Linked DNA regions of Rattus norvegicus. The protein of the gene in region 1 purifies or fractionates together with the protein of each later gene. This does not show direct contact. Links are inferred from orthologs where the notes say so. Each region holds a gene or a part of one and is shown on either strand. Other genes may lie near its edges. The genes, in order: Irf2, Irf2bp1 and Irf2bpl.

Evidence for each region.
Region 2: the proteins of Irf2 (region 1) and Irf2bp1 purify together in Homo sapiens (affinity purification with mass spectrometry; 4 studies listed by BioGRID and IntAct, counting the BioPlex papers as one, with this or other methods). This does not show direct contact. The link is inferred for Rattus norvegicus from reciprocal best matches to the Homo sapiens genes IRF2 and IRF2BP1.
Region 3: the proteins of Irf2 (region 1) and Irf2bpl purify together in Homo sapiens (affinity purification with mass spectrometry; 3 studies listed by BioGRID and IntAct, counting the BioPlex papers as one, with this or other methods). This does not show direct contact. The link is inferred for Rattus norvegicus from reciprocal best matches to the Homo sapiens genes IRF2 and IRF2BPL.

What each region holds. Positions count from the first base shown.
Region 1 is NC_086034.1:52,197,885-52,203,132, reverse strand, and holds part of Irf2 (interferon regulatory factor 2), read left to right. Parts: exon of another isoform or gene 1-2,307; intron 2,308-3,086; coding exon 3,087-3,204; intron 3,205-5,248. UniProt on the Homo sapiens protein: Specifically binds to the upstream regulatory region of type I IFN and IFN-inducible MHC class I genes (the interferon consensus sequence (ICS)) and represses those genes. Also acts as an activator for several genes including H4 and IL7.
Region 2 is NC_086019.1:87,778,316-87,784,124, forward strand, and holds Irf2bp1 (interferon regulatory factor 2-binding protein 1), read left to right. Parts: upstream 1-2,466; 5' UTR 2,467-2,839; coding exon 2,840-4,594; 3' UTR 4,595-5,168; downstream 5,169-5,809. UniProt on the Homo sapiens protein: Acts as a transcriptional corepressor in a IRF2-dependent manner; this repression is not mediated by histone deacetylase activities. May act as an E3 ligase towards JDP2, enhancing its polyubiquitination. Represses ATF2-dependent transcriptional activation.
Region 3 is NC_086024.1:112,258,803-112,264,586, reverse strand, and holds the start of Irf2bpl (probable E3 ubiquitin-protein ligase IRF2BPL), read left to right. Parts: upstream 1-2,322; 5' UTR 2,323-3,215; coding exon 3,216-5,564; 3' UTR 5,565-5,784. UniProt on the Homo sapiens protein: Probable E3 ubiquitin protein ligase involved in the proteasome-mediated ubiquitin-dependent degradation of target proteins. Through the degradation of CTNNB1, functions downstream of FOXF2 to negatively regulate the Wnt signaling pathway.

The DNA.
Region 1 (5,248 bases):
TTGGTTTTTGCTGGAGTGAGGCAAGAGGCTGAGAAGCCTAGGCAGTCTCAGGTAAGCTGACTTGTAAGAGCACCTCTAACATGCTCAGGACTCACTGGACTGGGCGAGTGAGGGAGAGTTGATACAGCAGCAGTGGGCCACCAGAGATGACCAGGACAGGCCATCCATCTTTTACACCATCTCTGCGCCTGTTCACAGAGAACCAACACCTCTTTCCAGTTTGGGTTTTAAATGTTATTTAGGGTTTTTGTAAAGTCGTTTGCATTACATTACTTAATATCTATTTGTGTGCCTGTGTGTATGCATATGCACAGTATATAGTGTACATAGTGGAAGTCAGAGAACCCCTCACCTCTTTTATTCTTGTTTTTTGACCTCTTAGCTTTTGATAACCCATTTCTAATTATTTCAGAAGTTTTGGTTGAGTCCTTAGAGAAGCTTCTCTCCTGGGCCCACTTGGAAGGAGGCTTGTCAGGATTCTGCCCAGCACATAATGTTCTACAAGTTACCATCTTGTTCACTGGTGTAGTGGTTCTCCACCTTCCTAGGGCCGTGACCAGTTCTTCATGTTGTGGTGAAATTATTTTCATTGCTGCTTCATAACTTCAACTTTGCTAATTTTATGAACCGTAATGTAAGCATCCGATATGCAGAATATCTAATAGCCAACCACGGGAAGGGATCGTTGACCTCCCCAGGTGGGTCGTGACCCACAGGTTGAGAACAGGAGCTCTGGGGTGACAGAACCAATGAGAGTTTTCCCAGACTGGTTGTAGGAGGAGTAAGACAAGTTCCAATTAGTCTTTCAATAGCCATTAGAGGAATGTTCTGCCCCAGGCAGGATACCAGAGAGAAGCAGCAGCCCACCCCATCCATCCTGTTCTCCATCTGGATGGGTGCAGAAGACGAGGCTCCTGCATTTGAACATACAGCACAAGCAAAGGCTGGGCTCAGTTCCTGCATCACACCAGGCTAAAAGTAGCATGAACTTGGAAAACTAACGTAGTGACTCATAATTTTTCTCTCACAAAAAGTGACAAAAGGATCATTTGTCACCAGTAGTTAAACTGCAGATCATGTGAAACACTTAGAGGTCTCTGTTGCAAAGTCAGAATAATTCAATTTTTGAATAATGCAAACCTGGTTGTTTTATTACTTTGATAAGAAATCTAAAAATAGAATGACTTTAAAAAAAAAAGGAAACAAAAAGGGAATGTGCAGCAGTTCTTCCTGTCCTTTGTTTAGAGATCTGTACTTAGTTTCTTAGGGAGGAACTGACGAAATGACGTACATAAGTAGACCGTGGAAAATGATTGAGGAGGGGAAAACGGAACAGGGGCCATTGAGAGAGCCATGGAGAAAAGATGGCGCTACGGTGAGGTGCACATGCGCAGTAGCTGCGTGTGATTCAGGCTGTCAAGAGGGAGGCAAAGTCCTGAGGATGGAGCTTAGGGGAAGGGACTTGAGAAAGGGCCCTTGGATTTGGTAAGAACAGTTTTATTGGTGACCTTTGATGGTAGCAAATGTTATTTAAGAATAAACGCCTTGCCTTGTCGATATTCATCTCCTTTAAGTTTCTATTCAACCCTTGGCATGGTTTCCATTACCATTCTCAGCTCGCACATGACTAAGACGGTTGAAGAGGGGATTCAAGGGTTAAATTCAGCCAGTGAGACGTACAGGAGCCAGGCTTGGTCACCTGGTCTGATTCCAGAGTCCTCTTAGCGTGTCTTCTGCAGATGGGGGCGAGATAGGACTATAGGCCTTCCTAAGGGTGTGCATGAGAAGGTGGGGTTAGCAAAGGCAGGCATTTGCTTAGATGTTTGACCATAAAGGAAGGAAAACTGATAAGGTTCCTCCCCCTCTCCCTGAAAGAACAAGCCTTCTATTGGAACTTACAAGATGCTAAGAGAGAAAATACAAGACACTATCAGAGAAAGGGGTACAATTTCTGCTCAGTGGGCCTGCCCTGGGGTCTTCTGGGTAAACCCTACAGTGAGGATTTTCATTTGTTTGTTTTGTTTTCCTTAAGCTGAGCTGAACCTCAAGGTGATGCCCTTCAGACAGAATGATCAAGGGAGTTTGCCAGAGGATCATGAGACTTGTACAGAGTTTGATCTTATTCCCCAGTGTGACCAGTTGATAAGAATGCCCAGTATGCCTTAGAATGCCTGACTTTACCACTTTACCCACAATGCTCGTCTGCTCGCAGCCCTCTTTCCACTCTCCTCCTCCAGCTTCTTCTTCCATTTTGGATTCCCCCGGAGTTGTCCCACTATGCGGCTTTTGTCTGGCTTGTTGCTATCTCTGAAACAAATGTAGGAAGTACCCTCATCAAAGTTCTGAGAGTCAAGCGTACTTCAGGACTGGCTTTCCTTGATTGCTTGGTACTCTCAGAGAGTGGAGGGTTCAAGTACACTTGAACGAAAAAGAGATATAAAGTTAAAACAAGGGAAGGAATGACATTGACGTAGTCAGTGTCACTGTGCAGCCCCTTGGGCTGGGTGGGAGTTTCAGGCACAAGAAAAGCCCTAATCTGAAGCTATGGAGGTGGGAGTACCTATCTGGTGGTAGGCCAGTGAGGGGAGACTTAGCTCATGTTATCATTGAACCAGCAGTGCAGTGGGCTCAAGTGACCATATCACAAAGTGTGCCCGAGTGCTCACTCCCACCTTCCTCTGAGCTCCCGTCACTGGCTCATGCAGAGGCCAGCCTTCTCCGCAGGAATCCAGGAGCAGGTCCTCCTGAGTGCTCCCTCAGAGGAGAAGGCTCCCATGCAGGGACTCATGTCACAGAGCTGCAAGCCCCATCCAACCACAGAACAGTCTTCTGTGTATCTGCAGCTGCAGGTATTTCCTGAGGGCAAGCCAGATGTGCTGAGACCATTTCCTTGAAGGAAAAATGAAAGAAACCAAATAGCTAGCTTCTTTAATGTCAGGCTGATTTAAAGAGACAGGGGATGCATTTGGGACATGACGTGAATGAATAACCCCAGGATTCAACCAGTTAGACAGGGGGAGAGTTGAAGCTAAGAAAGGGGAGAGGAAGGAAGTGTTCTCAATGCCTTTTTCTTTTCTTCTTCCTAGCAAGAACCAGTTGAGTCATCTTTGGGGCTTAGTAATGGAGTAAGTGGCTTTTCTCCTGAGTATGCGGTCCTGACTTCAGCTATAAAAAATGAAGTGGATAGTACGGTGAACATCATAGGTAAACTGTTTTGACATCTTCTTTTTATACTCACGAGCAGCCTCCGAGGTCTAAACTTTGTAAAAACAGTAATCTCAAAATAACACAGCCAGTAAGAGGAGGTCTTGGAACGTGTTCAAATTCCAGCTCTGGCCCCTAGGTCTCAGGATTTCAATAATGAGATGAAGGCTTGTAGAGGAGTCAGAGAAAAGATGGCTAGGCATTCGAGCTTCCTCTCCGGTGGATAGTGGTTAGCAGTTCTTTATCAATCACTGTCAGCCAAAATGTCATTTGTTTAACTTGGGAACCAAGGAGAGGAAAGGCCATCCCTGTGGGTCCCCTCGGCACTGGCCTTGTGTACATCTACCCAGAGGTAGCACTCATTTTACAGGCCAAGAAAGTGAGGCACAGAACCCTTCTGTCAGAGGACTGACTGGCTCAATAGATTTGCAGAGACTTTCCCACCATCAAATGCAGTTCTGGGCATGAAGTAAATAGGGAACATGCTGGGCCCTATTCCTAGTTTTGTGGGGATCCAGTAACAGGCAAAGCCACAGATAAGCATAGCACCCCATTTGTAGTCTGTGATACAAAGGAAGAGAACGGGTGACTAGGAGTAACCTGCATGGTAGGGCAGGTGTCCTCAGAAGAGTGATCTCCCTGGATAGTGCCTGTGTGAGGTGCAGCAGGTGACATGTGGTGGCAGGCATAATGCTGACAGAAATCCTGTAGAAAGCATCTGAAGGACCAGAAAGCAGCCAGTGGTGCATAGTGTCGGAAGTGTGGTGACTGCTCATGAGGTCCCCTCAGAGGCAGAGGTTCTCTGATGTCTGTTCCTGGTTGTCAGCTTGACCACATCTGGAATTAATTAAAACCCAAGCAGCTGGGCACACCTGTGAGGAATTTCTTTTCCTTAATTAAATCATTTAAAGTGAGAGGACCCACTTTTAATCCAGATCGAGTGAGGTGGGACAGTGCACCTTTAAACTGGGCCACGCCTTCTGCTGGCAGCTTATGTAGAGGCCACAGAAGGAGGAAGATTTTTTAGTTTTACTTGCTTGCCCTCCCCCTCATTTGGCAGTTCCATTCCTTCACTGGCATTAGAGCCTACTTCTTCAGGATTCTGGCATATCTGAAGACCAGCGGAGACATCCAGGCTTATGGGCTGAACAGCTACAGAATTGTTGGACTTTTCATTGGTGGACAGACATTGTCAAAGTAGCTGGACCACAGCCTATAAGCCACTCTAAAATCCTCATTATATGTGTGTATATACATATATATGTCTGTATATGTATATGTACATATATTCTATTGATACATATCTTTATAGAGATTGGTTCCGTTCCTCTAGAGAGCCCTGACTATTAAAGATTTTGGTACTAGAACTGGTTCTAGAACAACAGAAGTATAATATGCATTTTAAAAATATGACTAGGCTTTCCAATATGCCCAAACCTACAGTATTGAAGCCTCTCCTAGAAGTTGAAAGAATATTAAAAGCACATTGTGTGAACTGTTTTGTAAACTGAAAGAGATGAGTGCATTTGGTTATCCTGATTCACCAATTTGAGAGGCAACAGATTTGGTGACCCCGTATAGAAGACATTTGACAATTTATGGGAAAATAGGGAGCATGCTGATCATTGAGTATCCTAGCCATTTTAGATAATTTAACAATGAAATATAATGAGCACCGAGATAAAATTGATCAACTTCTAGTGTCTTGGGATAGTGTGAACAACAACAATGATCTCAGTGATAAAACTGACCTCCGAATGCACAGAAACAGCCTACAGGTTGCTAAGTGTGCCCTGGGAGAGAATCTTCTCTCTGGCAGCCAGGCAACACAGCTTGAAGGAAACCAAACCATAGCCCTCATTGTAAGGCTGACTGAATAACAGTGAAAATTCAAGTCGCAGCCTCGGAGGATGTTGGCAGTTAGAGGAAGGACATTCATTGGTAAAGAATGGGATCCTGTAGCCTGGGATGGAAATGTGTGGGAGGACCCTACTGAAGTCGAGAACTTTGAACCCTCAGGTTCTCGAGGGTTTATCTTACCTGA
Region 2 (5,809 bases), on another chromosome or scaffold:
CTTTGCCGAATAGTTACTGTTCTTGACTTGAAGAGAAGCAACGTGTGGGGACCTCCCCACTGCCCCAGCCCAGACTTCTTCGGAAGGGTTGGAAGTTGCTAGACAAATCAGAATGTAGAAGGTGGAGGATTCTGAGGAGGAGGCAGCAGAATTCTGACTGGGGAGGTATAGGTTGGGTCCTCTGCCTCCCACGGCTGCAAGGTGTGTCTGACCTCTGGAGCTCAGCCCCTCCCCCCTTTCTCTTCAGTGCTGACAAGATGTCAATAAACTTATTTTCATACAATTAACTTGAGGCTCTGAGACGGGCCTTGGGAGGCCAGCGTTTAGGATTGCTCCACCCCTCCCCTGGTAGGCCACACCCTCCCGGAGGATATGCCTCCTGAACCTGAGGCAGGTGATTTTCCCCCTAAAAGCTTTAACTAACCCTGGTGTAGAAGTACACACTGAAGGTTGCAATCCCACCAGTTACTTCAGCAGCCTGTTACCCTGTATTTAAAAAAAAAAATCTCCAAAGAACGTTACAAACAGGATTGAATTGGAGTTTATCTAGGTCTGTTAGAAGTTCAATACAGCAACTTGGGTGGTTAACTCAGGCAAGGACAGATAGCCTGCCTGAGGGTCAGACCCTAGGAGTGTACGGAACAAGAAACAGGCTTAAACAGCCTTAAAGAGCTAAGGGATTGTGGCTCACATGTGCAGTTCCAGTACTAAGAAAGCTTGCTTCGAGTTCAAGGCTAACCTGTGCTTCAGAGACCTGTCTCTAGAAAAAGAAAACAATAAATAAATCCAGGCATGGTTAATGTACTTTTGAAATCTCAGCCTCCAGGAGGTTGAGGAAGGAGAAATCCTGAGCCAGCCTGGGCCACCTAGTAAGGCTCAGTTTCAAAATAAAAATACAGGCTACTAGCACATCTCAGTAGTAGAGCACTTAGCATAAAGCCCTGGATTCCATCCCAGCACCACGTATAAGCAAGAGAAAGTAAATAAACAGTAGTACACGAAACCAATGGTTGCGAACATAGTATCTCCCAGGAAACGACAAAAATAGGCAATTTGTTTAAGGGAGGAGTGTTAAAATAGTAATGCAGGTGGTAGGTAAAATTGTAACGCTGAAATAGAAAGCCTGGGCTGCTGTGACTACTCTGGGGTGGGGGTGAGAAAACCGCCAAGCCTCCACTATGTGGAAACCTGGAAGAATGCAAACTGACAAGACATTCAGAAAAAAAAAAAAATGTTTTGAGAGCACCAGTGGGGGCCCAGGCCGAATGAGGCGAAAGGGCTGATGTGAGCTAGGACCTGGAGACATACATCGCTTCTCCCTCCCCCACCCCCACACTACAAAAAAATACGAAGAGAAAATATGGGGTGCCCAGAGCCAGATTGGGCCCACCAGGCCATTAAGCACTTGGAGGTTTGGTGTTGCCCTTCCCAGCAATCAACTCTTGGCTCCTTCATTCCAAATCTACGAGTAATAAGAGCCCCCGACCCCAGCCCCCAATGGGGGGCGGGGAGCGAAATTCCCTGCTAGTAAGGGGGGGGGGGGCAAGGATTGGGAAGGCCTCCCCTAAGCTTCCAGGCAGAGGAAGTACGTCACTGCGTCCATCTCGCAGAGCATTTTGGGAATTGTAGTGAAATTGGGGATGTACTGAGAAGCCAGCTGTGTAACCCTTTAGAGACCAAAGTACGTGCGCACCTGGAGCAGAACTAGGAGGCTCAGTGAACATTCTTTAGCAGATGAGAAAACTAAGGCAGGCACCTGGCTCGGAAGCTTACAGTCTTCTCATCTTGTTGCCTGTGGGGAGCCCTTGAGGCTAGTTACCTAAGACACTGGGGAGTGGGTGGGAGGACAAACTGCTAAGTAGACGCCACTCTCAAAGAGAGTAGCCTGAACCATCCCCTTGAAACCGTCCAATCAGAACCTCTCCGCCCCATCCCAAAATGCTGCGGCCTTCCTAACCCGTTATTGGCCCTTCTCGAAGAGGCGGGATTCTAAGAGAGGGCAAGACTCTTTTCTAAACCTGCTCAGCAAATCAGAGTAGAAACTGCTTTCCGAGATCTGGGTATGGTCCCAGGCCTGTAAACCCACCGAGAAGGCTGAAGCAGGGAGATTGCAGCAAGAATGAGGCCAGCCTAGGCTACATAGGCTAGCCTTCTAGGCCAGCCTGAGCTAAGGAATAAATCCAAGTCTCAAGAAAAAATGGGGAAAATTGCATGCCCTGCAACTTAACCACCTCGAGCATTTATGAGACCATTACCCATTTCCTGGATCCTGTGTGCAAACCCCGGCTTTTTGTCGAGGCACAGTGAGAATTAAGCTCACAGAGACCAGCGCGCGCCCTCTTTTCCCGCCACTGCTTTCTGCCCAGTCCCCTTTAAGAAGCAGTCCCGACGGGACTACATTTCCCAGAAGGCTTTGCCCGCGCGTTATGTAACTTTCCCTGCGAAGCGGCCTCTGGGGCAGAAGAAGGAGGAGGAGGCGACGGCGGCCGTTGCAGCGGCGTCGGCGGCGGCGCGAGCGAAGCGGCGGGAGCCTGGGGCGGCGGCGCCCGAGGCCCATTCAGGAGCTGGAGCTGTGCATCTCGGCTCGCGGCGCGGACCGGACGGGGGCGCCGACGTGCGTGCTCGTGGCTTGCCTTCTCCACCGGAGGCGGGAGTGAGAAAAAAAAAAAAAAAGGCTGAGGGCCCAGGGGGCGGGGAAGGGGGGCCGGGCCTGAATCCGGCGGGGAGGCCGAGCCGGAGGCCCGACTGAGCGGCTCGCGCGCCGGTCCCGGGGCACGGCGGAGTGAACGTGGGCGGCGGGTGCACAGCGGGGGCACCTGGCGGCGCTCCGGGGGGCGCCATGGCGTCCGTGCAAGCGTCCCGCCGCCAGTGGTGCTACCTGTGCGACCTGCCCAAGATGCCGTGGGCCATGGTGTGGGACTTCAGCGAGGCCGTGTGCCGCGGGTGCGTGAATTTCGAGGGCGCGGACCGCATCGAGCTGCTCATCGACGCTGCCCGCCAGCTCAAGCGCAGCCACGTGCTCCCCGAGGGCCGCTCGCCGGGACCCCCGGCTCTCAAGCACCCGACCTCCAAGGACCTGGCCTCCACGGGCTCCCAGGGCTCCCAGTTGCCACCCCCGCAGGCCCAGGCGCAGCCATCGGGGACCGGAGGTAGCGTCTCAGGCCCGGACCGCTATGACAGGGCTACTTCATCCAGCCGCCTGGCGCTGCCTTCGCCGGCTTTGGAGTACACCCTGGGGTCCCGCTTGGCCAACGGGCTGGGCCGGGAGGAGGCTGTGGCGGAAGGGGCACGCAGGGCTTTGCTTGGCTCCATCCCCAGCCTGATGCCCCCCGGGCTGCTGGCAGCTGCAGTGTCTGGCCTCGGAGGCCGAGCTCTGACGCTGGCACCTGGCTTAAGCCCCGCTCGTCCACTTTTCGGCTCCGATTTCGAGAAGGAGAAGCAGCAGAGGAATGCGGACTGTTTGGCAGAACTGAACGAGGCCATGCGGGGCCGGGCGGAGGAGTGGCATGGGCGTCCCAAGGCTGTAAGGGAACAGCTACTGGCGCTGTCCGCCTGTGCCCCTTTCAATGTCCGATTCAAGAAGGACCATGGGCTGGTGGGACGGGTATTTGCCTTTGATGCCACTGCCCGCCCTCCTGGCTATGAGTTTGAGCTGAAGCTCTTCACCGAGTATCCCTGTGGTTCTGGCAATGTGTACGCGGGGGTCCTTGCAGTGGCTCGCCAGATGTTTCATGATGCTCTTCGAGAGCCAGGGAAGGCCCTGGCCTCATCGGGCTTCAAGTACCTCGAATATGAACGCCGCCACGGCTCAGGGGAATGGCGCCAGTTGGGAGAGCTACTTACCGATGGGGTCCGAAGCTTCCGAGAGCCTGCTCCTGCGGAGGCCCTGCCCCAGCAGTACCCAGAACCGGCCCCTGCTGCTCTGTGTGGCCCACCACCGAGAGCCCCATCCCGGAACCTGGCACCCACACCACGACGTCGCAAAGCATCCCCTGAGCCCGAGGGCGAGACAGCTGGGAAGATGACCACGGAGGAGCAGCAACAGCGGCACTGGGTGGCACCAGGCGGTCCATACTCTACAGAGACCCCTGGTGTGCCTTCACCTATTGCTGCCCTTAAGAATGTGGCGGAGGCTCTGGGCCACTCACCCAAGGACCCTGGTGGGGGTGGAGGCTCTGTCCGTGCAGGGGGTGCTAGCCCTGCAGCTTCCTCCACGACCCAGCCACCAACCCAGCATCGTCTAGTGGCACGCAATGGAGAGGCAGAAGTCAGTCCCACGGCCGGGGCTGAAGCTGTCAGCGGGGGTGGTAGCGGCACAGGGGCGACCCCTGGAGCCCCCTTGTGCTGTACCCTGTGCAGAGAAAGGCTGGAAGACACCCACTTCGTGCAGTGTCCCTCGGTACCTGGACACAAGTTCTGCTTTCCTTGCTCCCGAGAGTTCATCAAGGCACAGGGTCCAGCTGGAGAGGTGTACTGCCCCAGTGGAGACAAATGCCCACTGGTGGGTTCCTCTGTCCCCTGGGCCTTCATGCAGGGCGAGATCGCTACCATCCTTGCTGGTGACATCAAGGTCAAGAAAGAAAGGGACCCCTAGGTTGCCACTGCCGTCAGGCTGCTTCCCCTCCCCCTTAACCATCCTCCGCGACTGCGGATAAATTATTCCCTACCCCACCCAGCCCAGTACCACCCTAACCTGTGTAGATACCCTTTCCTCTGCCCAGATGGGTCCCCTGGGGTAGATACATTGTGGGTGGGGGGAGAGAGCTTGTGGCTCCTGTCAGAGCGGGTGTTTGGAGTTCCTGGGCCCCTCCAGTTTCTTTCTCCTTTCTTGGCTTGGCTTTCCTGCTGTTGGTAGTTGGGGGAAGAGGTACCCCGCTTGTCCTTGAAAGGGACCTCCTGAGAACTCGCTCTTTATAAACGAAGCAAAAGCATTTTATTGTTCCCTTCTCCCACCCTTTTTTTCCTTCAATAAACTGAGAGATGGGTTGTTTTTTTTCCCCCTTCTTGGTCCCTTTAGTTTTATGAGATGCTGCGCCCCCTTCGGGATTGGACTTGTCCTAAGAGAGAGGACTTCTGCGTTGTGACCACTAGGTGGCGCCTTTTGTCCAGTGGGCGGCTGTTTGTAGTAGTGTACATTTGCTGTGCTCTGATTAAAAGGTGTAGTCGAGGCCGGTTTTGCAGACGATGGTACTGAGATTCTGACAGGGTTCAGCTCCTGCACGGCGCTCACAAAGAAACTGGGGAATAGGTTTGCGTTGTAGCCAGCACTCTGAATGCTGAGACGTCAGAGGGAAAGGAAGTAGGAGGCTTTCTCCAAGTAGTTTACTTGAAAATAGTTCTAGGGGAACTGTCCACAGAAAGAGTAAGTTGAACCTCCCTGAGTAAACGTATATGGAAGCAGGATGATGCCTTCTTGCTTCATATGGTGCCAGAGAGATGGACACACCTGAGAAACCTGAACTGGGCTCATGCCCTTCATCTGGGAACAGTGGCTATCACCCTAGAACACCTAGGAGCTAAGTAAAAGGCTCCCACCCGCCGCGGCTGCTTCTGATGTGTGTGCGGCCTTGTCCCGCACCTGTCCTGGGTGACTGATCATTAACCAGGATTTCCTGCTGGCTGGCGTCATGGGGCGGGGTCTGGGGCCTAGGCAGGCTATGGCAAAACAGGGGTTAAAAGGAGGGGGCGGCCCCAGGAACCATGTTCCAGCCCTTACTTGAGACCCTAATTCGTGGAAGGGATGAAAAGCTGAGCCAACAGGACAGTAAATGTTAAGTGAGCCCTGAGACCCAAGGGTATTCCTGATCTC
Region 3 (5,784 bases), on another chromosome or scaffold:
GTGAGCTCACTGTTTTTGCAAAAACAGAAACTGGGTTGCTCTGAGATGAAAGAACGACTCCCTATGTGCTCCCTTCTCCACGAAAGCTCCACCTGCCTTTGCACTTAGAACCCAGGATGAAGATCTCCATGCTGGGAAAACGCCAAACAGCTTCTGGAGATCAAATGTCAAAATAAAAGTATTTGTTGTTGCTTCAGCCGGCTGTAATAGTGGTCATAAATAATGATCACCATGCCTCGCACTCATTAATATTTTCACAGGTTAGCCAGTGACAGTATCAATATCACCAACACTGGTGCCCAACTGTGAATGCGGTAATGTGGTCTTCATACTATATGGTTCATTTATGCCTCAGTCTGCCAAACGGCACCGTCACAGCTTCTCTGTGTGGAAGAACTCAGTAGTACAGTCTGGAAGGGGATCCTCGGGCTCATTATGAAGGTGATTTGCATAGTACTTTATATACAAGGTTGTATAACAAAAAATGGGATTCTGATGGAAAAAAATCTCAGCCCCCTGCACCATCTCTTGGAGATGTGCTTGTGTGCACCCCCACCACTTAAACCAAACGTGCTGGATTCAGACCCCAGGCCAGCTGCTGCAGTAAGTTCAGTCTATTTTCCTAGTCTGTAAAATGGAGTGGAATCTACTTCACTTCATAGAAGACATTCTGGGTTTAATAATGTAAATGCCGTTTTATATAATGTATCTACTTTTTAAAAAAAATTTACTTATTATATATAAATACACTGTAGCAGTCTTCAGACACCCCAGAAGAGGTCATCAGATCCCATTACAGATGGTTGTGAGCCACCATGGGGTTGCTGGGATTTGAACTCAGGACCTCTGGAAGATCAGTCAGTGCTCTTAACCACTGAGCCATCTCTCCAACCCATGTATCTACATTATAATAAAAATAATTAGCTGAAGCAAAGGAACTACTTTTCCAATGCCCATCTTTGTACCTGTCTTAGAGTAACCTGTCACAAGCACAAGGCACAACCTGAAATCGACAACCCATCAAGCTGACAGAGATGATTCCATTTTGCAGAGGGAAAATATTATATAAGCAGAGCTCAAGGTTACAAAGCCGGTAGCAATAGTGAAGAAATTCCAATCCTGTAGGGCAAACCCAGCCTTATCAAATCCCCTCCCCTCCACCAACCTTCCACAGGGATTATGTTAATTTACGTAAGAAAAAAGCAAACTCAATAAATAGGGAAACCAAGTAACATGCCCCAGCCAGAGCTAAGACCAACTCTATCAGTTTTTACAGTAAGCAATAAGGATGGGCAGTGATCTTAGGAGGGAGAAGAAATCATGACCTCCCAGAGTGCACCGGGACAGTGTGGAATTAAATCACAACACACAGAAGGAACTTTGAAAACTGTGCTTTATTTGTTTACGATTCTGAGGATAGTGTTCTGAGCCTGGGTCATCCTGAACAAGCGCTCCCTCGATGAGCTATGTCCCAAACTCTAGCACACAGTGTTATTAAATGCCCCTCCCCGCCTTTATGAAACCCAGAAAACCACTCACCTGTTTGACCAATTCCTCACTCCCCCTTCCCTGCCCTCCTCTGCAGCTGTATTCAGAAGACCTCCGAGTGATCCGAGCTTCTTTAGACATTCAGTCAAAATATTTTATAAAGTTCGGCCAGGGAGAGGGGTGGCTCATTTAGTGATAGTCTCACAACTCCTATTCCATTCTTAGGCTGGGTCGCAAAAGCAAATCTGAAAGGTAATTTCTTGAAGATGGGAGAAATGCTAATTCTGCAGGTGTTTGGGCACCAATGGTGGCAAGGAATGTTAACATTAACGGGGGAGGGAGCTCTCGTCGCAGATTAAATAGGTAATACCCTTATATGAAATTCAAAGTGAAACTCGTCAAACAGGGCATTTAATTTTACTGCCTGGGGGTTTGGTGGGGTGGGGAACGGGAATCGGAAACAACACTCGTGGCTCTTAAATGTTTTGTTACTTGGGAAAGCCAGGCAGGAAAAGGAAAGGTCATCGCCTGTTTCATCCCGCCTCCTCGCCCGGAACCCCCCCTCCCCGGCACCCAAACCCTGGACTTGCAGCTTTAGCTCCCCGGGCCTCAGCTGTGGTACACACACAGCCGAGGGGGGAGGGGAGGGAGGGTGGAGGCGCGGAGGAGGGGCCGACAGGGAGGAATCTGGGCATGCTGCCGCGCATGCGCCTTTCGCAAGCAACAAGTGGGCTCCACAGACAGAGGAAGTGTAAAGGGGGGGCTGGGGGACTGGTGCAGAGCATGGTGGTGACGTCAGCGCTCCGCCCGGGCGGCATCCCGCGCGGCCAAGCCGGGGACAGCGCGAGCCGCAGCCGGAGCAGGAGCGCTGAGACGCGCCTCCGGAACGTAGAGTAACAATCACAACCCCACATTCCAGGCGAGCGCGAGCGGGAAGGGATGCGACCCGGGTGGAGGCGCCGAGCGAGCGCCCTGCAGCCAACGTGAGCGCCGCCAGCCTCTGTGGCCGGAGAGGTGGTCAGGCCAGGGGGTGGTGGGAGCCTGCGTGCGTGCGCTCCTCTCCTCTGCTCTCGTGTGTCTTGGAAACGGTGGCCGCAGCTGCTCTCTCCGGCGTGCAAACCCAGGCGCCGCCAGCGCAACGGCCGTCGCTGCGGAAGGGAAACGCTCCTCTTTTGGCAGCCACCTCCTCCCCCGGCCCTCCCGGGGAATCAGCGGCTTCAGCAAGATTGGACCTGGGCACCGGGTGGCAAAACCTTCTAACCCTCTCCCCGGGGCGCCTGGCGTAGAGAAGACTCAGATCGTAGGGAGGACCCCCTTCGCGTTCCACGCTTCAATCACTCCGGGGAGGGGGCCAAGAGGCCACTGGCGGTCGGCCCCGGACACCCTAGCCCCCTCCCCCCAGGCCCGGAGCTCGCAGCCCTGATCCGCCGCACCAGGAAGAAGGCACCCGGTGCTCTGCTCTGGACAAGACAGCCGCAGTAGGAGGTGGGGGCGAGGAGCGTGCGGAACCCGTCGGTCGCCTGGGCGGTGGAGCCCCCGCCGAGAGGCACTACTGCGCCGGCAGTGGAGACTCGCGCTCCCTCCAGCCCCTGGGGCAGAACTTTCTCGCCCCCCTCCTCTCCCCTCCCCCGCAGCCGGACTCCTTCCCCAGCCAGCTAGTCCTCCCGAAGGAGAAAGCGCCGCGGAGACAGCCCGGGCGGGGGCCTACCTTCCCCGAGGCTGGCATCATGTCGGCGGCGCAGGTGTCCTCGTCCCGGAGACAGTCTTGCTACCTGTGCGACCTGCCTCGCATGCCCTGGGCCATGATCTGGGACTTCTCCGAACCCGTATGCCGTGGTTGCGTCAATTACGAAGGCGCCGACCGCATAGAATTCGTGATCGAGACAGCACGCCAGCTGAAGCGGGCGCACGGTTGCTTCCAAGACGGCCGCTCCCCCGGGCCGCCGCCGCCAGTCGGGGTCAAGACAGTGGCCTTGTCCGCCAAGGAAGCGGCAGCAGCAGCTGCCGCCGCTCAGCAACAGCAGCAGCAACAACAACAGCAGCAGCAGCAGCAGCAGCAGCCACAGCAGCTCAACCACGTCGATGGCTCTACCAAGCCTGCAGTGTTGCCCGCCCCGTCCGGTCTGGAGCGCTATGGCCTGAGCGCAGCGGCCGCCGCGGCTGCTGCCGCCGCCGCCGCGGTTGAACAACGCAGCCGTTTCGAGTACCCGCCTCCCCCGGTGAGTCTGGGGAGCAGCAGCCACGCCGCCCGGCTGCCCAACGGCCTGGGAGGTCCCAACGGCTTCCCCAAGCCGGCACCAGAGGAGGGTCCCCCGGAGCTGAACCGCCAGAGCCCCAACTCATCCTCAGCGGCAACATCGGTGGCTTCTCGGCGTGGGACTCATAGTGGGCTGGTGACCGGGCTGCCCAACCCGGGTGGTGGCGGGGGACCCCAGCTCACCGTGCCCCCCAACCTATTGCCGCAGACGCTGCTTAATGGCCCGGCCAGCGCCGCGGTACTGCCTCCGCCCCATGGGCTGGGGGGAAGCCGAGGGCCCCCGACTCCAGCACCTCCGGGTGCTCCTGGGGGGCCCGCCTGTCTCGGGGGTCCCCCGGGTGTGTCGGCCACTGTATCCTCTGCTCCGTCATCGACCTCGTCGACAGTGGCAGAGGTGGGCGTGGGTGCTGCTGGTAAGAGGCCTGGATCGGTGTCGAGCACAGACCAGGAGCGTGAGCTAAAGGAAAAGCAGCGCAACGCTGAGGCCTTGGCCGAGCTGAGCGAGAGCCTGCGCAACCGCGCGGAGGAGTGGGCTAACAAGCCCAAGATGGTCCGTGACACGCTGCTCACGCTGGCTGGCTGCACGCCCTACGAGGTGCGCTTCAAGAAGGACCATTCGCTGTTGGGTCGTGTCTTTGCCTTCGACGCGGTCTCTAAGCCCGGCATGGACTACGAGCTGAAGCTGTTCATTGAGTATCCCACGGGCTCCGGCAATGTGTACTCCAGCGCGTCTGGGGTGGCCAAACAGATGTACCAGGATTGCATGAAGGACTTTGGCCGGGGTCTGTCCTCTGGCTTCAAATACCTGGAGTACGAGAAAAAGCATGGCTCTGGCGACTGGCGCCTTCTTGGGGACCTACTGCCCGAAGCTGTGCGCTTCTTCAAGGAGGGCGTGCCCGGCGCGGACATGCTGCCCCAGCCCTACCTAGATGCCAGTTGTCCCATGCTACCCACGGCGCTGGTGAGTCTCAGCCGCGCCCCCAGCGCACCTCCAGGAACTGGAGCCTTGCCACCCGCGGCGCCCACGGGCCGGGGTGCAGCAGCCAGCCTGCGCAAAAGGAAGGCATCCCCGGAGCCTCCAGACTCAGCTGAAAGCGCACTGAAGCTCGGTGAGGAGCAGCAGAGGCAGCAGTGGATGGCAAACCAGAGCGAGGCGCTGAAGCTCACTATGTCCGCGGGGGGCTTTGCGGCGCCGGGACACGCAGCAGGGGGACCGCCTCCACCCCCTCCACCTCTGGGACCTCATTCCAATCGGACCACCCCGCCCGAGTCAGCCCCCCAGAACGGTCCGTCCCCCATGGCCGCGCTCATGTCAGTAGCAGACACTTTGGGCACAGCGCATTCGCCCAAGGATGGCAGTTCAGTGCACTCCACCACTGCATCTGCTAGGCGAAACAGCAGCAGCCCGGTGTCGCCTGCCTCCGTGCCGGGGCAGCGTCGCCTGGCATCACGCAATGGGGACCTGAATTTACAGGTGGCACCCCCACCGCCTAGCGCCCACCCGGGCATGGACCAAGTGCACCCCCAAAACATTCCGGATTCCCCTATGGCCAACAGCGGGCCCCTCTGCTGTACCATTTGCCACGAACGTTTGGAGGACACTCATTTCGTTCAGTGTCCATCCGTCCCTAGCCACAAATTTTGTTTCCCTTGTTCTAGAGAGAGTATCAAAGCCCAGGGGGCCACAGGTGAGGTGTATTGCCCCAGCGGAGAGAAATGCCCCCTAGTCGGGTCTAATGTACCTTGGGCCTTCATGCAGGGCGAAATCGCAACTATCTTAGCTGGGGATGTTAAAGTGAAAAAAGAGAGAGACCCTTGAACCGCGCAGGGCAGCGACCTCCTTTGCCCTAGACCACCTCCTCTTCAGTCTGGAGGGCCCTTCCCCCACCTGCCTCCACCTTCCCTATCCACCAAGATGTAGAATTGTGAATAAAACTGCAAAAAGTTAGTCTTATGTATAGACATTATTTTCGTCGGTATGTTTCTATATTTTGAAACAGGTATGTAACTTCTTCATTTGAAGGATAAGCCGATTTGTG